Linked DNA regions of Saccharomyces cerevisiae S288C. The protein of the gene in region 1 binds, or shares a complex with, the protein of each later gene. Each region holds a gene or a part of one and is shown on either strand. Other genes may lie near its edges.

Evidence for each region.
Region 2: BNI5 (region 1) and CDC12 share a complex: the UniProt entries of both Saccharomyces cerevisiae proteins name them as parts of the GIN4 complex.
Region 3: BNI5 (region 1) and CDC3 share a complex: the UniProt entries of both Saccharomyces cerevisiae proteins name them as parts of the GIN4 complex.
Region 4: BNI5 (region 1) and NAP1 share a complex: the UniProt entries of both Saccharomyces cerevisiae proteins name them as parts of the GIN4 complex.

Annotation. Positions count from the first base shown.
Region 1 is NC_001146.8:320,546-326,294, forward strand, and holds BNI5 (Bni5p), read right to left. Parts: upstream 3,021-5,749; coding exon 1,674-3,020; downstream 1-1,673. Other genes in the region: SKO1 (Sko1p), read right to left, coding at 1-814; YNL165W (uncharacterized protein), read left to right, coding at 3,287-4,507; IBD2 (Ibd2p), read right to left, coding at 4,720-5,749. UniProt on the Saccharomyces cerevisiae protein: Required for normal septin function and cytokinesis. Its recruitment to the bud neck by CDCd11 and SHS1 ensures efficient localization at the bud neck of MYO1, the type II myosin of the actomyosin contractile ring.
Region 2 is NC_001140.6:325,060-330,788, reverse strand, and holds CDC12 (septin CDC12), read left to right. Parts: upstream 1-2,752; coding exon 2,753-3,976; downstream 3,977-5,729. Other genes in the region: CTM1 (cytochrome c lysine N-methyltransferase), read right to left, coding at 1-479; GGA2 (phosphatidylinositol 4-phosphate-binding protein), read right to left, coding at 729-2,486; thioredoxin-disulfide reductase TRR2, read right to left, coding at 4,163-5,191; YPT35 (Ypt35p), read right to left, coding at 5,379-5,729. UniProt on the Saccharomyces cerevisiae protein: Septins are GTPases involved in cytokinesis that assemble early in the cell cycle as a patch at the incipient bud site and form a ring approximate 15 minutes before bud emergence, which transforms into an hour-glass shaped collar of cortical filaments that spans both sides of the mother-bud neck.
Region 3 is NC_001144.5:761,132-767,138, reverse strand, and holds CDC3 (septin CDC3), read left to right. Parts: upstream 1-3,001; coding exon 3,002-4,564; downstream 4,565-6,007. Other genes in the region: EST2 (telomerase reverse transcriptase), read right to left, coding at 1-597; TAD3 (Tad3p), read left to right, coding at 781-889, 958-1,009, 1,066-1,873; NKP2 (Nkp2p), read right to left, coding at 1,870-2,331; SPH1 (Sph1p), read left to right, coding at 4,797-6,007. UniProt on the Saccharomyces cerevisiae protein: Septins are GTPases involved in cytokinesis that assemble early in the cell cycle as a patch at the incipient bud site and form a ring approximate 15 minutes before bud emergence, which transforms into an hour-glass shaped collar of cortical filaments that spans both sides of the mother-bud neck.
Region 4 is NC_001143.9:523,457-529,019, forward strand, and holds NAP1 (histone chaperone NAP1), read right to left. Parts: upstream 3,185-5,563; coding exon 1,931-3,184; downstream 1-1,930. Other genes in the region: YKR045C (uncharacterized protein), read right to left, coding at 1-513; PLN1 (Pln1p), read right to left, coding at 767-1,618; FMP46 (putative redox protein), read right to left, coding at 3,374-3,775; TRK2 (Trk2p), read left to right, coding at 4,359-5,563. UniProt on the Saccharomyces cerevisiae protein: Acidic protein, which assembles histones into an octamer (in vitro). Involved in the regulation of the localization and the function of the septins during mitosis. Involved in the function of B-type cyclins.

The DNA.
Region 1 (5,749 bases):
TTATATTAACATGAGGGTGGTTTTCAATACTTCCATTCACTGTGACACTTTTGTTGACATTTTTGCTACCTGTTATAGTATTTTTATTAATTGACGGCAATACGGGATAATTGTAAGATTGCGTAAGAATACCGGGTGTCAACCCGGTCCTGATATTGGACTCATTAGGTGTCAACCCAGATTTGGACAAGTTTAATAAAAAGCCAGGCATTTGTGAATCATTCGTGGGGAAGCCGTTACCAGAATTACTTGTGGTCACGTTCGAGTTTCGTGGCTGGCGTATAAGTGAAGTCCCTGAAGGAGAAGAGCTGTTTGGATACAGAGATCCGGAGGTAGAAGAAACGCCTATTGCACTAGGGTTTGAATTAGAGACTGAAACAGAATGTGAATTCTGACTGGGATTCGTAGTTGAATTTGCCTGATATAAAATAGAGGGAGAAAGGAGTAGAGGTGGTAATCTTTTCGACCCACCAGGTGTGAGAATAGGCGGAGATATTATAGTAGGTCTTTGTTGGCCTGGTAAAAAACTAGGTGAGTCTTTTTTTACGTCATTATGATTACTATTATCTGTAACGGTTGAATTCCCATTTTCTTCTGGAATACTGTTCAAACTATGAGTGGAACGTTGGGAATGTTGTGTTATCGTTGAGGTAGAATTGTTTCGTGAAAGCTCTTTTGGTAGAGACGGATGGGAGATCGTGCCTGGAAGTGACAAAGCCTTCTTGGAAGAGGCGAAGCTTTGTTCAAAAGGATTGGGTTCTAAATCGAAAGTTGAAACAGTACTTGGTTGTCTCGAGCGTTCCTCGCTTGACATAATGATTAAGCAGGGTCTAGAGACTGGGCAGGTGTATTTGGAATGCAGAAATTGAAATGAAAAGAATGAAATAAAAATAAAAATCCACGAATTGATTAAGGAACTTATCAAATAATAGAGATCGGTAAAAAGATAGGAATCTAATAAGTGGAAAACTCACTTGAATAATAAAAGAGTTTTTCTCGATAAGAAAACACAATTCACTTTTACGTTGAACCCCTTTGGTAGTAACTTTTCTGAGCTTAAAACCACTCCTGAGCGTTGGCAATGTAGCACCAAATTATTGTGTTTCTGGAGAACAAATTAGTCTCACGTATCAGTAACCAAACTTGGTCCTTTTAACTGGAAAAATGTGCAGTTTGTTTCGAAAACCATCACCGTATGACTGAATTCATTCTATTCAGCCCAGTTAATTTTCGTGATTTTTCCCTTCGATTCTACTTTTTTCCCTCTGCGACAAAGTTAGCAGGGTTATCGCTAGCGCGGTTAAGTACGACTTGGTTTATGAAAGTTCTTAGAGAAAAGAAGACACAACGCCATTGAAATTGAATTCTGGGTACTGTTATTGTTCCGTTTCATGTTATTACAATATAATTGACTATCTGAACATTTTGTCTTCATTTTTTTTTTTTTTTATTATCGTTTTGTTTACGTTTAGGCGAAATACTCACCTCTTTACTATTAAAATAATAGAATTTATCAGAAAAAAAGTCAGCAACATCAAAAATAACAGATGGATGGCTCTAGGATAAAGGATTCTTATTCTCTTACGATTGTCTATGTTCTTTTGGTATTTATTTTAACTTTATATATCTGTCTTAATTTATAAATATTTATAACAACCCTTGGCGTAATGTAATCATTTAGTTCCAATCCAAAATTGGCCATTTTCGCCACGATCAATTTGCTTTCTCAGATGTCTACTTAATAACACTCCGACCTCATATTTCTCCTTCGTTTTCTTGTCAAGATATTCTTGAAGCTTCACTACGGCTCTATGTAGTCTCTTTCCGTCTTCCATAGATAAAGAACCCTGTGCATTCATCTTGTTTAGATAGTCAATTTCCTTTTGTAACTTAATGCATTTCATGGATAAATAATCATGTCTTTTTTCCAGCTTGGCAATACTGCCCAGCTCAGACGCTGATGTGATAGGAGAGGAGACTGGCGAATCATACTTATTTAGTGAAGATTTACGACTTCCGTTTCTTGAATTGGAATTGCTGCTCACCGAGATAACTCTGAACGGATTTGTAGGGCGTCGTGTCTCGAAATTCGCCATTTTTTTCTGTCCATCACCATCTGAATTAAAGTGATTTATATTGGTACCATCTTCTTTAGAATTCTTTTTAGGGATAAAAATTTTAGTTTGAGAATCTAAGGGAGTGCTTCCTCCAGAGCGATTGGGACAATTCTCTGAATTATCGTCATGGGGTGTTTGATCAGCTAAACGGCTGCTCTCATGGTTGTATTCATTGTCACCTCCTACAACTATGGTTTGCGGTTGTATATCTAGATCCTTATTAGCGGAAGAAAATTTGTCTAATACAAGTTCAGCGTCTAACTTGTTCTCACCGCCCAAGGTGTTATTCTGGGGCATGGGTGATTTGAAAGATTCAATCTCACTGTTTTCCTCTGTTCCCTTATCTACTCGCCCCTCTTCAACATCCGATTTTTCATCCTCCCATTCATCATCATTATTTTCGATAATTTCAACATCAGCTTCACCCCTGTTTTGATCTATATTGACTGTACCATCTTCTTTGTTCTCAGTGCAGGAGTCCTTTGCCTTTTCATTTCCAGCGGAATTTGCGACAAATGAATTATAGGAGTCACCAATAGCAATGGCGGTGTGAGTTATCTGCTCTTTCGCTATAAAAGGTTGAGTAACCGATAGCTGGGATGGGTCATCCGTACTCTTATTCGCTTCATTCTCAGTGGGAATATGGACCTGTGCGGTTTTGTGCTCTTCAACCTGAGCTGAATCTCCTGGGTTACTATCCGCTCCATCATTGCCACTAAAAAGAGCCGTTTCTGCCACCTTTACAGCGTCGACCACACCCGTATCCTTGACATTATCTTCGACAGCTTCGTCCTCCGCAGGTTCAACTAATTGTAAATTTTCGTCAATCATCTGGTTCATCTGGTTGATATCTATCTCTATTTGAGAAAGCCTCTTCTTTATCTTGTCCTGGTCCAAGCCCATCGTTTCTGTTGTTCTATTTCACACTAACATAGCATCACCATAACAGTAAATCAAATTACAAAACTATTAATGATTTTTGTTTATTATGAAGTTTGAATTTTCAGCGCAATATTTATTTCATAACGCGTCTAAAATGGTCTGGGTTCTGGGCATCTCTAAAGCCCTTCACTACTAGTGAAGAAGAAGAACAAGTAAGGCTTTTGGAAAAGAAAGAGCATCAAATTGAACGATAGGAGAAGTGCTACATACATTTGCCAAAGATCCGCATGGATAGAGTACGCTCTTTGATTGGAAATCGCCGGGGACGCCGACATAATCGCCAACATCCTCCGTATCCTCACAGTGGGTCTCCATCCACCGTCAATCTCTTGGGAGCTAATGGTTATGGAGACGACCAATCTACAATATTTGCACGAGAAAATGAATCTCTGGAAACCTCTGCCAACGAGGGCGATGATAGTGCGGATGCAGCTACTTTGAATACAGCGGTATCAGAAGGCTCAACAATTGGAGACCTACAAAGACAGGGTTATGTTAACAGAGCCCCAAGATTCACGTCAGAAAGAGCCATGCCATTCGTTTCGGTGCTACTACAACGAGGGTTTTTTGCATTCCCCAGTGAAGAATCTCTCCAGCTATTTTTACACAACAAGAGGAAGCTCGATAACATTGATCCAAAGAGGGGTCTAGGACTTCCCCTATTTCACGCCATTTCTTTAAACCTGGTCAAGTCGCTTTTCAGTGATCAAAATACACCGGTAATGAGGATATATAAATACGTTATGATAGACTCCCAATGCGATAAACCTCCATTAAACTCAGAAGTGGTCTCTCGAATAAACGAAAATGTCTCCATATATAAATATGAATTCTGCACTATTCTAAAAAAAATGGAAAGCCATAATTTTTCGAGCAGGGTAGAGCACGATTTTATATTTCATAGAAAAGATGAACCTGATGTTCATATCCCCATGATTAATTACAATCAAAGGAAAAATGCGGATACGGCAATTCATGGATTAAATCTTCGTTGGTACGGGACAACTAGTTTAGCTTCACCTTTTGGCTCAAATAGCATCAACCTACTTGTACTCGATGATACGATGGCATCCTACATGAACCAACAAACTATTGAAGAGTTTGATTCTTACAGCCGTTCCCGTCCCACAAGACCGCTGGGTTATCTCCCAGTATGGGCCAGATACACAGATGATAAAGTTAGTGTCATACCGAAAAAAAGAACTTTGAGAGTAGCTACCTTGTACTTACAAGAAACTGATTCGTTTGATGATGGCTCTAGTTTAACATCTACCAATTATACTGAAATGGGCTCTAATATCATTGAAAATGTGCCGTGGGATAGTCAGATACTTACTTGCATGTGCATGCTATTACATGAATATGAATCAAGAAAGGAGAAACGCCACACCGCATGGGGCAGCTCGACCACATATATGCTAAATGGACCGGCAGGATTACTGATGTAAACCCATTTGCATTTACTTGTGTTTTTTCCTGTTACTATTTAGTCATAATACCGCTAAGAAGCATATAAATATTCAAAGAGAAATATTGTCGTACACCATTAATTTTTCAATAACTCTTAAATACGTTTAGAATGTCACAAGTTTTCCTCACAAGTTTTCCTCTATTATGTAATGTTCCCTATACTACTTTATTCCTACAGTAATAATGTTGACTATCTATTCCTTTTCCTACTATCTTGTTCATCTCTTGGTGGATTCGGCATACGATTGTAACCAAACGTACGATTATACCACTTTATCATGTTACGTGGTGGTTCACCAAACACCATGTAGTACTCGCAAAATAAACACATGGGACTTGATTCGTTAACTAGGACAGAGAAATCTGGAACACGGTTTTCCGTTCTGGAAATATATTCAAAATCATGATAATAGTAGTTTCGTAGTTTGGATAAGTTTTCATAATGATGATGCGGGCAACAACTTTTATGGTCTCTAGATTCGTCATAAAAGTCATGTCGCCTTACATGCCCATTCTTTTTCGAGTTCTTTGACCTGCTGTGCTTTCTAGAAGATATGGAATGTTGACCGTCTCCATGCAAACGAGCTGCGTCAACGGTATCATGATCGATATCTGTGACTTCTTCTGCAACATCTAAATCCTCTACATTTGTTACAGTTCGCAACCCCCCCTGTTCTTCACTTCCAAACCCTCCCGGTAACACCGATTCTATCATTTGAGAAATCTTTTCCCCTATACCATCCGGTGTATCCAGTTCTTGGCTCTCATAATCGAAAATTATTTCGGCTTCTTCGCCATCCAAGTTAAGTTCTGAGTCTTTAAGATCATCATCTAAAATATTTTGCAAGTCCTCCTCTATTATGAAGTCTGCACTATTTCTAGAAGCTATTTGGCCTATTTTACTTTCAAAGGTTTCCTTTTCCTCTGCGGAATCAATGTGGTATGCACTTTGGCCATCTATTTTCGCAAGTTCATCTTCCAAACTCAACGAGTCCATCTTAGGAAGAGCATCTTTGAGCTCTTCTAACCGTGCATTTGATAAAGCTTTTCCTCCATTTCTTATAACGAATTGCATTGCATGAGGAGCGTTTTGAAAAGCTTGTCTGTCTTGAAGCTGATTGGAAAGAATTTTAGTCAGCGCTTTCACACCTTCTTGCATCATAACGTTTATTGGCATAGGTCCATCCTCTGAAAGTACCTCCACAGATGCATTAGTCGTT
Region 2 (5,729 bases), on another chromosome or scaffold:
GTAGCTAAGTTTTCAATAGAATCCATGGCTGTTTCTACTTCAATGCTCATTAAAACATTTTCTAAATAATATTGGATATTTTCGGGAATCTCATAACGACTACGAATAGTTTGAAATATCATGAAATAAATTATGAGTAAATTTGTTTCTGTCAGGAACACACTGAAATTCGGATGAGCCATTATTTCACGAAGAGCAATCTTAATTTTGTCATTAGTTCTTTGAAATTCTTCCTTTGAAGAAAATTCGTCCTCATCTCCCAAGAGAGCCAGAAGTGTGTTTATATTAAACGTGCAGCGCTTAGGGATTCGGAGCAATTGGATAGTTTCACTTTTCAATTCATCATTCTTGAACTTCGAAGGTTCTACGAAAAGGCCATATCCACTTTTGGGGTCATCAATGGTGGATGGTTTTAATGAAAGGCTTTTATGAATGAAGATATTTCTAGAGTTCGAGTAAAAACGGAACACTTCCTCCATTTCAACTTTCCTTTTGGTTAACTTCGATTTTTCAGTGGTTATGAGGATGGCGAATTATACTATTTCTCTTTTTTTTCCTTTACACGATCTAGCATTGCTAACTACTTTTGATGCATGAAAACGCAACATATATTAGTAAGTGAAATATGTATTGTTGCGAAGATCTTTATAAGATTGTCTACATAGAGGTATTATCCTTCTAAAAATATACATAGAGAAGAGAAAGGATTGATAAGAAACGCCAGAGGATTATACATTAGGTAACGTAAAAACAGCAGTTTCTTCAGCTTGGGTGGAGTTGACAGAATAGTTGACCTTCCACTTGACTTTCAAAGCCTTTGAAGGGTTAGCTGGCGCATTTTCAATTGTACCTTCTTGAGAGATACCATCTTTAGCGTTGCCAATCATAAAGTTACTCGATTGGGGTTGCAATTTCAAAGACATTGACTTAGGGACTGCTAATAAGAACACTAAGTTGGAGATCGGTGACGAACTTAAGTTTGTAAAGAACGATTTTATCCTTATAACTGAGTTTGACTCCCTAGATATTTCGAACTCAATCTTCAAGTTAGGAGACTGATTGACTAGGGTTCTTGCGGGCGCAGTAGTAGTACCTGTTGTTGGATTAAATCCCATCAAAAGATCGAACCCACTACTGTTTACTGCTTGGGAATTAGTTGGCGATTGAGGAGTTGAAAGTCCCAAAAGATCTAAAGTGTTGTTCGAGTTGTTAGTAGTAGTAACTGGTGGTGCGGGTTGAGAGGACCCCAACACGATATCGCCTCCCAGACCAAAGGATGCTTGGTTAGCGGTTGAAGGGTTCGAAATAGATAAATCGGTCAAATCGCCCAATAAGTCATTGACAGATGTTTCCGCTGCTGCTGGTGTACCCGTGCCGTTGGTATTGTTGTTGCCTTGAGAGGGCGCTTCGTCCAAATCATTGAAATCGATTAAGTTGATTTCATTCGTTAAAGCACCAGAAGATTGTTGTAACGGAGCAGAAACATGACTTGGATGTATCTGCGAAGCAGCGTTGGAGTCACCGTTTTTCAATAAGTTGAATTTTTCCAATAGTTGATTAACTGTATCATTAAACTTCAATAGATCCTGCACTAACGCATCGTCTTCCTGTTCTTCCTCAATGATCTTTTGAAATTTTGGTTGAGCTACCTTTAATGCACTGTGAAGTTCTTGTGTAGTTTCGTTATCCCAGTTTTGTGAGTCAGGTGATTCCAGCATTTCATTCAGCAAATCGGCTTTACGCTTCAATTTGTTCAATTCACTGGAAATAGCCTGTTTAGCTTGAACGGCATTGTCTTCTTTGAACCCTGCCATGATTTTCATTAATTTGTTAGCTTCCCTCAAATCTTCAGGTTTACCACGCCTGATCAATTCTTCGAGTTTTGCAGCTTGAGCAATTTCCTGCTCCTTTTGAATTTCACTAGCGGTCTTCAATTGATTACTAGGCTTCAAAACTGCTAGGTCGGATTCACTGATTTTGGGGAATGCATAACCCTTATATTTCAACAAACGGTGCATGTCTCTAATATAACCCATATCATTCTTGTAGCTTGAGTGTTTACAAATTGTTTGATACCATTCTTCAATAGCAGTTAAAATCAATCTCTGAATCTTAGAATAACGTAATGGTGGGTGACCTGGAAATCTCTTGACCAGTTCATTCAAAAATTCCTTTCTAGAAATTTGCAAGTGGAATGGGTATCCACAATTCTTGACAAGCACGTCTAATAGAGATAACGCGAATATTGCCACGTGCGATTCTCTATTGTTGATCAGTTTAGCAAGTGCAATGGCAGCATCCCTAGGGGCAGCGCCCTGTTTTTCATTAATGTAGTCAGCAATGTCAAGATTCAACGCCAAGTCTGGTTCAGCAAGTGACATTCTGCAAGCTCTTTGAATCTTCCTCAAAAGAGGATTGCCCAAGGCTTGAGGTTTCCTGACGGGCAACTCAGACAAATATATGCTATGTGAGTGCGGATGGGACATGATGCAGTATCACGATTAGCAATTCAGCTATGAGTTATGTTGCTCTTTGTTTTGTTTATGGAAATTGTCCTATGGTAAGTCTCTTTTTTTTGCAATCGTGATTACAGAAAAAAAACAGGGCGCTGGAAAAGTGAAGAATCCGAAATTTTTTTCGAAATCACCATTGTTTGTTTTGAGTAGATCAAAGTCTTGAAAGGTGCAGCAAGATATAGGATCTTGACCTGAAGAGTATTGATAACGAACTACATCACATATTGTATCAAATAATGAGTGCTGCCACTGCGACTGCTGCCCCTGTTCCTCCTCCTGTAGGGATATCCAATCTTCCCAACCAGCGTTATAAAATTGTTAATGAAGAAGGTGGTACATTCACCGTGATGTTATGTGGTGAGAGCGGATTGGGTAAAACTACATTTATTAATACCTTATTTCAGACTGTCTTGAAAAGGGCAGATGGTCAGCAACACCGCCAAGAACCCATCAGAAAGACTGTAGAAATCGACATCACAAGAGCTTTGCTGGAAGAGAAGCATTTCGAATTACGCGTTAATGTCATCGACACCCCAGGTTTTGGAGATAACGTGAATAACAACAAAGCCTGGCAACCATTGGTGGATTTTATTGATGATCAACACGATTCTTATATGCGTCAAGAGCAGCAACCGTACCGTACTAAGAAATTTGACTTGAGAGTTCATGCCGTTCTGTACTTCATCAGGCCCACTGGACATGGTTTAAAGCCAATTGACATTGAGACTATGAAGAGATTGTCAACCAGAGCCAATCTGATTCCAGTTATTGCGAAAGCTGATACATTGACTGCCCAAGAATTACAACAGTTCAAGTCCAGAATCAGGCAAGTAATAGAAGCTCAAGAAATTCGTATTTTCACGCCTCCATTAGACGCTGATTCTAAGGAAGATGCCAAAAGTGGCAGTAATCCAGATTCTGCCGCTGTTGAACATGCAAGACAGTTGATAGAAGCAATGCCATTTGCCATAGTAGGGTCTGAAAAAAAATTTGACAATGGGCAAGGCACTCAGGTAGTTGCAAGGAAGTATCCTTGGGGACTTGTGGAAATCGAAAACGATTCTCATTGTGATTTCCGTAAGCTCAGAGCCCTGTTACTGAGGACTTATCTATTAGATTTGATTTCTACCACCCAAGAAATGCATTACGAAACATACAGAAGATTAAGACTTGAGGGTCACGAGAACACCGGGGAGGGGAATGAAGATTTCACTCTTCCAGCAATTGCACCAGCAAGGAAATTGTCACACAATCCTAGATACAAAGAAGAAGAAAATGCATTGAAGAAGTATTTCACTGACCAAGTCAAAGCTGAGGAGCAAAGATTTAGACAATGGGAGCAAAACATTGTTAACGAAAGAATCAGACTGAACGGTGACTTGGAAGAAATTCAAGGAAAGGTAAAAAAACTAGAAGAGCAGGTCAAAAGCTTGCAAGTAAAAAAATCCCATTTAAAATGATGATTAATTAATGTCTTCCTCTTTGTCTCGTCAATTTCAACGCCTATCTCTTTGTCTCTTCTTTTGTCGCAGCAATACGCACATATATATATGTATCTTATAAAAATATTTCAAATATATCTCAAAAAACATAGAATACGTAACACAATCGAACAGTAAAAACAAAAATAAACCGGTTTTTTCACGTTACTCTTGGGCACTTAGGTACCGTTCTGCATCCAAAGCAGCAATGCATCCGGAACCAGCAGAAGTAACTGCTTGTCTATACCTAGAGTCCTGAACGTCACCTGCAGCAAAAAAACCTGGCACAGAAGTCAGAGACGATCCAGGCACAGTTTTTATATACCCCGTCTCTTCTTCATCTACTTGTCCTTTAACTATATCTGTGGCAGGGCTGTGACCTATTGCGTAAAATAGTCCATTTACTTCTAAATCGTTCTCCACATTACTTTTAGTATTCTTAATTCTCAACATATTCAATAACTTACCATCACCCTTAGCTTCTAATGCAACTGTGTTGAACAAAACAATGATGTTTGGATTTTTCTCAATTCGTCTCTGCATTATTACAGATGCACGAAAATGATCCTTTCTTACTAATATATATACTTTCGACGCATACTTCGTAAGAAATTCCGCTTCCTCACACGCAGAGTCACCACCACCAATAACGGCCAATGGCTTGTTTCTAAAGATAGGGACTGCACCATCACATACAGCACAGGCAGATATTCCCTGCTGCCAGTAGGTTTCCTCCCCTGGTAAATGCATTCTCTTAGCGGAAGCACCCGTGGCCAAGATTATAGCATCAGTGGTCACAGGCTCTGCATCCTCATTAAATTCGGTCCATAATCTGAATGGTTTTGAAGATAAATCGACTTTAGAGACAGTCTCGGTAATTATGTTAGTGCCAAACTTGGCAGATTGTTTCCTCATCCTCTCCATCAGTTCACTGCCACTCAACGATTCAGGAAACCCTGGGAAATTTTCGATATCGGTGGTTGTTGTCAATTGGCCACCAGCAGCAATTCCGTTGGCCATCATTCCCTCATATAATGTGGGCTTCATCTCTGCTCTTGCCAAGTATATAGCAGCGGTGTGGGCAGCGGGGCCAGAACCTATGATTGTAACCTTGTGATGAATCATCCTTGACAGCACGGACTTGCTGATGCCAACAAAATTCGTCCTGAATGGCGAAACTATATGTTTTATCATTGTTTATTTATATTAGAAACTGTGGAGTCCGTTTCGTTCTTCCTTTAATGTTGGACGATCCCCTAAAAGTTTTCATTGCGGTCAGCTCAAGGCATTCCCCATCGAGTGATTAATTAACAACGCGCCCGAGTTAAATGGGATAGTAGTAGTCGATGAGAAGAATAGTCGGTTGGATAGGGATGGTGAGCTATGCAACTCGTTTTGAAGGCTCTAGAAACTGTATGAGTATATCTTTGGTCATTTCTACGAGGCTGCTGTTAAGGATGATGTGATTGAGGAAGTACTCGAGCCCTCTCTGTCTTTTTGCCAGCCAGTCCTTGTTCAGATTCACTTCTTGATATTTCCAAGAACTGTACCACTGCACTGAAGGGGGAAGGTGTGGAATCTGCAAACAGTTAAGTTTCTCAGGTTTCGCTGTCTTGATTCTTGTGAGCAAATTCTCTCGTAATCTGACGAAATCGGAGTATCGTTTATAGGTTTGGATTTTATAGCTTTCCCTCTTGGCCGCAAAAGCCTTCAAGTTGGGTTCAAGAAATAC
Region 3 (6,007 bases), on another chromosome or scaffold:
AAAAAAAGAAGAGGAATTTATATTGAGCTTGTGTAAGAATTGTTTATTTGTCACTGGTTCTGTAAGTTGTTTGATTTGCGCAGCAGTTGCGGATGATGAGGATGATCGTTGAGCCCATTTGGGCGGCAGATGAGGTTCGTTACATCTGTTACCCACGATTTGAGTGAAAAACTGCCCATTAAATTGAATTACTGTATAATTGATCAATAAATCAACGAATGCGTATGTACCGACCAAACTGTGGAACATTTTCCAAGCAGCGCCTTTCAGTAACGTAACGTTAACATTTGCAGAATGGCAAAAAAGACTATTGTTGACATCTTCATTTCTAGCTATTTTATAGCCAAATGTTAGTACGTTGTTGTATAATTCGCCCGTCAACAGGTAAATGATGCAGTGATCAATGACTGCTTTGTGGCTTAAGTCACCAGGAAGGCATGGTAATGCTATTTTTCTTGAATTTGGTAGTGCGAAACACGTAGTTAGAATTTCATCGAGGCCATTGAAGTGACCACATTTTAAATTTTCTTTGTAAGTACTGTTGGTCTGTAGATCAATGTCAAGCTTGTCTTGAATGAACTCGAATAAGATTTTCATGAGTATAAATCAGTTTTTTTTTTTTTTTTTTTTTTTTTAATTTTTCACTTTTCTATTTCACTTGTGTCATTCATTGCCATGCTTTACTTTTTTTCATTCCTAAATGCGAATCACCAATAGCTCATCTAAAGGTATATATTATTCAAACCTCAGAAGGATAATATTCATGAGGGCGTGTTAGTTATGGTTAAGAAAGTTAATAATCCGCTAAAAATCGATTATCAGAACGGGATAATAGAAAATCGGCTTCTGCAAATTAGAAATTTCAAAGATGTAAATACGCCCAAACTAAGTATGTATCTATGAGATCTAACAGAAATCAGGATCAATTAACTAACTTTCAAACATATATAAGTGCAGTCAATGTATGGAGTATAAGAATAGATCCAAGAGACTCGAAGAAAGTAATAGAGTATGTATATGATTTTTGCTTTTGTATTCATGGAAGTAAACTAACTAGTAAAGTAGGCTAATTCGAAACGATTTTCAGAAAAATGACCCTGTTTCATTGAGACATTTGAAAAGGATCCGCAAGGACATCGAGACCTCCACCTTGGAAGTGGTGTTGTGTTCGAAAGAGTATATTTGCGACGAAGGTGAAATAAACAATAAATTGAAGAGTATTTGGGTTGGAACGAAAAAGTATGAACTGAGTGATGATATCGAAGTGCCTGAGTTTGCGCCCAGCACAAAGGAACTGAACAATGCCTGGTCTGTGAAGTACTGGCCGTTGATTTGGAACGGCAACCCCAATGATCAAATATTGAACGACTATAAAATAGACATGCAGGAAGTACGAAATGAGCTATCGCGTGCGTCGACGTTGTCTGTGAAGATGGCAACGGCAGGAAAACAGTTTCCAATGGTGAGCGTCTTTGTTGACCCATCAAGAAAGAAGGACAAAGTGGTGGCAGAAGATGGCAGAAACTGCGAAAACTCGCTACCCATCGACCACAGTGTAATGGTGGGCATCCGTGCGGTAGGCGAAAGACTCAGGGAGGGTGTAGACGAAGACGCAAACTCTTATCTGTGTCTTGATTACGACGTCTATTTGACCCATGAGCCGTGCTCAATGTGCTCCATGGCCCTGATCCATTCTCGTGTGAGACGAGTGGTCTTCCTTACAGAGATGCAGCGCACCGGGAGCTTAAAATTAACGAGTGGTGACGGGTACTGCATGAACGATAACAAACAGCTAAACTCAACATACGAAGCCTTTCAATGGATCGGCGAGGAATATCCTGTGGGGCAGGTTGACCGGGATGTCTGCTGCTAGTTTTCCTCTAATAGATTAATATAAGATTGTATAATTTGTAATAGGCCAGGAATGGCATTGTCTCCTGCACTCGGTGAGCGAACCATATTTTCAAATTCTGCTAGTTCCGAGGTCTTTTCCTGAATAGCATCATCCAGAATCTGCAAACGCTGTTGCAACAGGTCATTAATCTTGTACAGCGCGTCGATCAGTGTCTCGAGGCTAAGGGAGTGTGATAGTTGCTCGCTTTCCAGAAATCGCAGTAATCTAGAGCGCAACGTTATGAAAAACTGCTTGATTCGTGCTTCTAACTCAGAGGTCACTCGCGCATCCCTGGCCTGAAGCAATTCGTACCAATGTTGCAGTTGTTGCTCGTCGCTCGTGTACGACTGTAGTTGCTGCTTGAACTCTTGAAAACTTATCAGAGTAGTGAGTAGCGAATCCGAAACATAGTTATGCAGCAGCTGTTCAGAGTTCATTTATAATGGTAATTTCAAAGCAAGATTGGGAGCACAATTGTCAAATCTATGATTATTTTGTTGCGTTATACCCAGCTTTTGGGCTTTTTCGAGAACGATCTTCGTTGTTTTTCGCTGTTTCTCCGCGAAGCGGGCAGCGGCGACGGTAATATTGGCTGTTAATCTATTGTTATCTTGTAGTTGTACAAGATCATTCCTTTAATTCTATATATTAACTGTTCGTGGCGTAACAAGAAATCGATTCTGACATCAAATGGAAGACATCAGCAGTTACACTAGTGGTGCAGGAAAGGCACCGCAAGGGAGTGCAAGAAGCTGTGAGAAACAACTTTATATAACTTGCTGCTTGATAATTGTGACAGAATATTCTCGCACCTTGCAAACATATATAGCAGCACCTCTAGATTTCTCCTTCCTTCCTTTCGTAAAAAGGAACCACCTGGGCGGCTAATTTAGTATTTTCGTCTTTTATGATCTACGTGTGTAATGATATGGTGGGGGCGTGTTTTCGCTTCCCATTTTTTGCCATTTTTTGTCTCGGTTTTAGGAATTGCGTTTTGTGTTGTTTTGTGTATTAAGTTAAAATCTCTCGAGGAAAGCAGATCAAGAAAATATCAAATCCAGGATCACACGACAACTGAACGATTACATCGGCCTATAATACGTTGCCATGAGTTTAAAGGAGGAACAAGTGTCCATTAAGCAGGACCCGGAACAAGAAGAGCGTCAGCATGATCAATTCAATGATGTTCAGATCAAACAAGAGTCGCAGGATCATGATGGAGTGGACTCGCAGTACACGAACGGTACGCAAAATGACGACAGCGAGAGATTTGAGGCAGCTGAATCCGATGTAAAGGTGGAACCCGGCCTCGGTATGGGCATCACCTCCTCTCAGAGCGAAAAGGGTCAAGTTCTGCCTGACCAACCGGAGATTAAGTTCATTCGTCGTCAAATCAATGGTTATGTAGGGTTTGCTAATTTGCCCAAGCAATGGCACAGAAGGTCCATAAAGAACGGATTCAGTTTCAATCTCCTATGTGTCGGCCCTGATGGTATTGGTAAGACAACTTTAATGAAAACTTTATTTAATAATGATGATATTGAGGCCAATTTAGTGAAAGATTACGAGGAGGAACTTGCAAATGATCAGGAAGAAGAGGAGGGTCAGGGCGAGGGTCACGAGAACCAATCACAAGAACAAAGGCACAAGGTCAAAATTAAGTCATATGAGTCGGTTATTGAAGAAAATGGTGTTAAACTGAATTTGAACGTGATCGATACTGAAGGATTTGGTGATTTTTTAAATAATGATCAAAAATCATGGGACCCGATCATTAAGGAGATTGACTCTCGTTTTGATCAATACTTGGATGCGGAGAACAAAATCAACAGACATTCAATAAACGATAAAAGAATCCATGCATGTCTTTATTTCATTGAACCTACAGGACATTACTTAAAGCCCCTGGACCTGAAGTTTATGCAATCTGTATATGAAAAATGTAACTTGATTCCTGTCATTGCTAAATCTGACATCTTAACTGATGAAGAGATCTTAAGTTTCAAGAAGACCATTATGAACCAGTTAATCCAATCTAATATCGAGCTGTTCAAGCCTCCAATTTATTCCAACGATGATGCAGAAAATAGCCATTTATCCGAAAGACTATTTAGTAGTTTACCTTATGCTGTTATTGGTTCCAACGATATTGTAGAGAACTACAGTGGTAATCAAGTGAGAGGCCGTTCCTATCCATGGGGGGTGATCGAAGTGGACAATGACAACCACTCTGATTTCAACCTTTTGAAAAATTTATTGATCAAGCAATTCATGGAGGAATTAAAGGAAAGGACAAGCAAGATACTATACGAAAACTACAGGTCTTCTAAATTGGCAAAACTTGGTATTAAGCAAGATAATTCAGTTTTCAAAGAGTTCGATCCAATATCTAAACAACAAGAAGAAAAAACTTTACATGAGGCAAAACTAGCCAAACTAGAAATTGAAATGAAAACAGTTTTCCAACAAAAAGTTTCCGAAAAGGAGAAAAAACTACAAAAATCAGAAACTGAATTGTTTGCTAGACATAAAGAAATGAAGGAAAAATTAACTAAACAATTAAAAGCTTTGGAGGACAAGAAAAAACAGCTAGAACTTTCAATAAATAGTGCTTCTCCCAATGTTAACCACTCCCCCGTCCCTACAAAGAAGAAGGGATTTTTACGTTAGCGAAATAAAGACATATAAAAATTTCAAACATACACTATTAAATATTATTACTATTAATATATAAAACGCGAGACGCGTAAAATAAAAAGAAGAAGGGTAAATAGAAAAAAATGGAAATGAAGAAAAACAGAGTTATTCAACTAAATATCTGTTATGATTTGAATCGCAGAATATAAAATTAAAACAGTAAAGTAAAAGAATATCATAATGTGGCCATAACGAAATAAAAAGAATGATTAGCTCAGAATTAACGAATGATCAAATCATAGACCTTATATCGGATTATAAGAATTTCAAAAGAATTATAGAGGCCTCTGTACCAGAAGATGATAGAAGAAGGAACCAAAACCGCCAAAATAGAAATAAAGACCTGACAAAATTGTCGAATGTACAATTTTGGCAACTGACGACTGATGTCAACGATGAATTGATGAAAAGATTGACAGATTCGGGTGCGGATGCATCACTAAATGATCTTGATCTGAAAAGAGGTAAAGCACAATCTAAACTGTCTCGATTGAAGGACGCGAAGTTCCATAAATTGATTCTTGATATTTTCACGGAAATTGAAAGGAGAAACTTACATCATTTGGATATGGGGACGCATAACAATGGGTTAGACGAGGGTGATCTAAATTTCTATTTAAATGACACATTATTTGAATCCTTCAAAATAAACGATGATTTTATGAGCGTGAATGGTATTATATCCATTGAAGTCTTCCGAGAATTAAAAACTCAATTTACACTTTATTTTCAAAACACGCTCCATCGAATTGATCCTGTGGATACCACCACCACACGCCTGCCGATTCTGCTTGAGACTATAATTAAGATAGCAAAGTTGATAGGCGATCTCTTACCTGTCCTATCATCAGTTTCACTGCAAAGTTCTTTAGAAAACGAAATAGTATACTTAAAGAGTGCTTTATCTCATGCTATCACTTCAACAAGATATTTTCTCACATATGGGGACCTAATACCACGAATTGTAGCTCAATCATCTATTTCGGAAGTGATTTTTGCGTTCTGCAATATTGCTCAGATTGTGAAGATCAAATCCACCTCACGTGATGATATATCACGCAATGAAGGAGAACTCAGTGATATCGAGGCAGGTATGAAACCGTTGAAGATTATTGAAAAAGTGAAAAATGAGAAAAACGGTAAGGATATATCATCTCTGGGTGATAGCGGTAGTACTGCTGTTAGTTTTCCATCCTCTGGTAAGCCCATTACAAAAAAATCGGACATGCCAGTGGTTGTAGCATCGCCATCAATTTCCATCATAGAAAAATCTGAATCTTCTATTCGAGAGAGTGGGAAGGTACGAAATAATACATCTGGAGAAACAAACTTAGCGTCTGTGTCGCCGTTAAAAAACACTAAGAATTCTTCAAGAATTACGAGTGAGCCATCTCCGCGAGAAGGTTTGCCTCTGAA
Region 4 (5,563 bases), on another chromosome or scaffold:
CGGGAGGGTTCTTGATCGATCCAATATACTCTGTGGTGGGATGGCCAGAACGCTAGAATTCGTCTCAAACGTCCTGTTAGAGAATATTGTGGGCCTCGTAGACTGTATTGAATGAATGTCCGAGAAAGTAGACGACTTCACTGACGAGGAACAAAACGATACTAGCGGAATAACACTTGCGTTGTCGTTTTGTTGTTGCTGCTGTTGCTGCTGCTGCTGTCTTACTTTGCCTGTTGGTGGTTCATCCCATGCCACTCGACGGTCTCCTTCGTCATCGGATTCGCTCGAATGCAACGAATTTCGATCAACCAATGGTCGCAACGACGAACTGATGGTTGTTCCATCCGGATCCAACTCAGCACGCTTAACTCTTGTGGGGCCAGCCCTAGTGCCGCGTCTTGGTTTACTGCTCGAGACCGATGCGTTAGTTGTGGTAGTGGTGTTTATTATTTTTTTAACCCACACTGAAAGTTTGTTTCTTCTTCCCTGGGATGTATGATGACTGTTTGACATGCTAGGACTTTCCCTTGGCACCATGTATATTCACTTTTATTGTCTCTTGATCGAGCTATAACCAAATTTTTTTTTTTTTTTTTTTTTTTCGTTTTTATAATTTTTTCTTTGGTATTCAATTGTATATAGTGCTCAAACAGCAACGTACATAATAGCTAGCAAACAATAGATGAAATAATAGAATAATAACAAATAACTATATAAGAGTGGCAGGAAAAAAAATCAGGCGCACGATTAGCGCAAAACCAAATTACTAATTGGTCGACACAGCCGCGGGCTTAGAATTGGTTTGGTCTTCTCTTGAGGCCTTTAGCTTCTCAATGGTGGCATTGCCCAAGTCCAACCCGGTGGATACAATGGCTTTAGGGACGCTTTCAGATTTACTTAGATTGTTTTCATAGACAGTGGTGAAGCGTTGGTAGGTTTCGTTAAGCTTAGTCTTTGTTGGGTCGATGTACACAGACTGCAACTTGTCAGTTGTGGGCTTCACTATGGCGTCGTACTTTTCTTTAGCCAGGTCCTTGGTTGGGTCGATATAGTTCGACTTGACCTTGGACTGGATCTCCTGCGACATACCTCTGGTCGTTGAAGACAACTCTGCCACGTGGGGCAAAGAAGAAGCATCAGTGACCTTGTTCTCCTCACCGGAAGAGCCGATCTCCTTCGATGCGGTAGAACCTTGCAAGTGCAATGGCTTGATCAGGAACTCCCTCAACAGAGTATTAGAAATGTTGGCGACGTAGTCGACGAAGAACCACACCAGCCAGATCCCTGGCGTGTTGGAATGTGATTTCCAATTGTACAGCAAGCCGTCGACACCCTCCTTGAACACCAAGAGGTTAACTAACTCGTCCAACTTGAAGGCCCCTTCCTTCCCAGCAGCAACAACTTGCTTCACCAGACGAGGAGAGCTGGACGATTCGGAAACCCACTGGTTCACAGATCCCAAAACAACGAGGTTGAAGGAAATCAATCTCTCCACAGGTGGCAGAGATTCCGCATATTTAATAAACTTGGATAAAGCTGGGTATCTTTGCAGATGCGACCAGGTTGCTTGTGGCAATTCCACAGATGGTTTAGAAGAAGAAATAGATGATTCAGACATAATTACGCTACGGTTCTGGAGAGTGAGTGATGGTTAATGATTACCGATACATTCCGTTATCTTTCCTTTTATAACCCTTGCTGCTATATTATTAAATCCGAAAGAATACGATCATCCCCCACGGCGGAGAAAATCTAGGCTATTATTATCATTATTATTATTATTATTGTCGTCTTAGTTACATGCGCTTTAACATATATTTCAGCTTACACACTTACATGTATATACATATATATATCTATATATGTATGTATACATATGTATATAAATATATGAATACGGTTATGACCACTCTTGCGAAGTGCGTTGGGATTATGACTGCTTGCATTCAGGAGCCTGTTCCGGCCTGCCAGCAAAATCGTCTTGCTCTTCGGCAGATTCCCCGTCGTCATCCTCCAAGCCGTGATCATCATCTTCTTCTTCGTCTTCGTCCTCGTCCGCTTCTTCTTCGTCCTCCTCGAACTCGAATTCCAAGGCTGCGCCGGTAAACCAGTCCACGGCTCTAGGAATTAGCTTGTCCTTAAGTTGTTCCCCGATGGAGTAGTCTAAAGCTAGACGTTCCTCGAGGTCTTCCTCCAACTCCTCGTCTTGGTCTTCGTTTTGGATCTTGGGAGGGTCGAAGAAGTTGAAAAAGGATTCTATGGGAGTGATCTTCTCGATGGTCCTCACCTGCTTGGTGGTCTTGTTTCTCTGCTTGCGCATTTCTAGGTCCACAGTGACGTTGTGGGCGTTGTCCTTCCAACTGATCTCGCAGCCTTCTGCGTGGTCGTAGATAAAGTCCCCGGAGTAACCGAGCTCCTTCTGGTAGAAGTAGGTCTTGCACAGAATGTCGTTGGTGAAGAATGGGTTGGCGGAAGAATCAAATCTGAACAACAGCTTGAAACCGGGTCTACCATCCGTCAAGTATTCCAGACCAATATCTTGCAGGTACTCCAGAACTTCCGCATCGCGGTCAGTGATCGTGTCGCAAACGATGGGCAAGTTCTCTAATGCGGTTAGCCAGAATGAGGGAATTCCCTTCACCTGTTCCTCCTCGGAATCATTTTGGGCCTTCTCTTCTTCGTCCACCAACAACTCCGTCTCATTGAGTGACTCCACAATCTCTTGGCCCTTTGCGATCTGTTCCGGCTTGGGTTGCTCTTGTCCTGAAATGATCCTGGACCGCTGCTCCCAAATGGGCTTGTACTTCTGCAGAAACTTGTTCTCTAGCTCAAACATCTCCACCTGAAATTCCTTTTCAACTTCGAATAGCTCGCTTTGTAAAGTCTTCAAGCTCAGCAGCTTTTCCTTAACGTTCTTGGGAAGACCCCCCACATACCCGCTGTCCTGGCCCACCAGCGAGCCAAGTCTGTCCTGGATGGACTGTAACAACAGGGGTTGGTTAGCCAAGATGTCCTCCTCGTTGATGGTGCCGATCTTGTCATCCTGCTCCTGTGCCTGGGCCCTAACTGGGTTGCCGTTTTTCAAATAGCTCGGATTCAGAACCGATGCTGGGGTATTGTGAGGCGTAGGGGCGTTGTCGATTTGCATCGACGACTTGGGTTTCGTTCTGATAGGGTCTGACATGATCTTGCGCTTTGCTCTTGGTCCCACTGGGCTCACTAAATCCTCCTAATCTACCATCAAACTGCCATTTTTGATCCCAAACGCTGCTATTTAAAAGGAAAAATTTTCCCAATTACGCGGGTAATACAAAAAAGATATAGCCCATTGTTATAAAAATATGTATGTGTTCAATATAGTGGTATATAGGTGTTATTTGCGCTGAATGATGTACTTGTCAATGTCTGCGGGCTCATTTCCCACCAACTTGTTTTCCCAGTCGACCCAAAGCGCCTCCTTTGGATTCCAAAGTCCCCTCTGGACACACTTCTGCAGGTCCATCCCGAACGTCGGGTCTGTGTGCTTGTATTTGAGCACTGAATCCAGCTTTGGAATCTGCCTTTGCAACGAAACTGGGCCTTGCGGGCACGAAGTTCTCATGTATTGCAGCTGGTCCCACGTGGGAAAGCGGTTGGCGATTTCCACGTCGAATCGATGAGAGACGTCTCCCTTCAGCAACTGCAGGCATTTCTGCGACTTGATATTGGACGCGATGTCATTGGTAAACAACGAGATGGTACGTGGCTGTCTCTGCAATGTTTTCCAAAACGACATTTATTGCGTTTGCGTTTGCGATCTCCCGGTCTGTTATTTTCATTTGCACTTTTCTTAACGTTCTCTTTTGGTTTTATATGCCCCTTTCCAAGCTGGGTGGATACCCCGTCCATTGAGTGCCCGTGCCCAATCAAGCTAAAGCCAGACTAAAAAGAGGAAGAGTTCAAGAACCATCAATGCCTCCAGCACAATTTCACAACAGCTTGACACTTTGGCAACGGTTATATCAGAGCATAGCGACGGGATTAGAGAGATGCAAGACGACGGAAGAAAGAAGGGAGTGCCCGGCATGCGCTGAAAGCGCCCTGTAGTACAAGCGTACCGCCGTTGAATAGGCCATGGTACATCACACGATGATTGATAATTTGATGCAAGCTGCCATGCTCAGATGGTTGTTTCCCGTTTCTCTCTTTCACTTTTGATCTCCTGCGAAGAATAGGATGAGATGTGAATTTTCGTTTCTAATCCCCTCGGCCGTGCGGCTGAAAAAGAGAAATGATATTGGAATAACTAGGTTTCAGATGATGAGAAAAGAGGCTATTTTGTACTATTCACCGACGATAAGAGGCTGTAAGAACCACTCATGCCAACAGCTAAGAGGACGTCATCCAGGGCTTCGTTGGCACTGCCCTTCCAGTTACGGTTGGTGCACAAGAAATCATGGGGCCATCGGCTAAGAGACTTCATTTCCGGGTTCTTAAAATCATGCAGACCCATTGCTAAATACGTTTTCCCCAACTTCATCGTGGTGCACTATATCTACCTGATCACGCTGTCGATTATCGGGTCCATTCTGTTATATCCGTGCAAGAACACGGCGTTCATCGATGTGCTATTTCTGGCTGCTGGAGCGTCTACACAGGGCGGGCTGGCCACCAAGAGCACTAACGATTTCAACCTGTACCAGCAGATAGTGGTGTACGTCATTACATTGCTGTCCACGCCTATACTTATTCATGGGTTTTTGGCCTTTGTCAGGCTGTATTGGTTTGAAAGGTACTTCGACAACATTAGGGATATCTCCAAACAGAATTTTAAACTAAGAAGGACCATGACGTTGCAACAAAGGGAACTATCGGGCAGCAGTGGCAATGCCGCTCGAAGTAGGAGTTTCAAGGACAACCTGTTCCGTGGGAAGTTTGTTTCCAGAGAAGACCCACGACAATCCGCTTCAGATGTGCCGATGGACTCTCCTGACACGTCCGCATTGTCCTCAATCTCACCGTTGAATGTTTCCTCCTCTAAGGAGGAATCCAGTGACACGCAAAGCTCGCCTCCAAACTTCTCAAGTAAGCGCCAACCCTCAGACGTTGACCCAAGAGACATTTACAAATCGATAATGATGCTACAAAAACAACAAGAGAAGAGCAACGCAAACTCCACGGATTCTTTTTCGAGCGAGACCAATGGACCCGCTTTCATTGTGCAGGAACGTCATGAGAGAAGAGCCCCCCACTGCTCACTGAAACGCCATTCTGTCCTGCCATCTTCTCAGGAATTGAACAAGCTAGCCCAGACGAAAAGTTTCCAGAAATTGCTTGGCTTGCGGAGAGATGAAGGTGACCATGACTACTTTGACGGTGCTCCTCACAAATATATGGTCACCAAGAAGAAAAAAATATCTAGAACGCAATCATGTAACATCCCAACGTATACTGCTTCACCGAGTCCTAAAACCTCAGGCCAAGTAGTTGAAAATCATAGAAACTTGGCCAAGTCGGCGCCTTCATCTTTTGTTGATGAGGAGATGAGCTTTTCACCGCAAGAGTCTTTGAATTTACAGTTCCA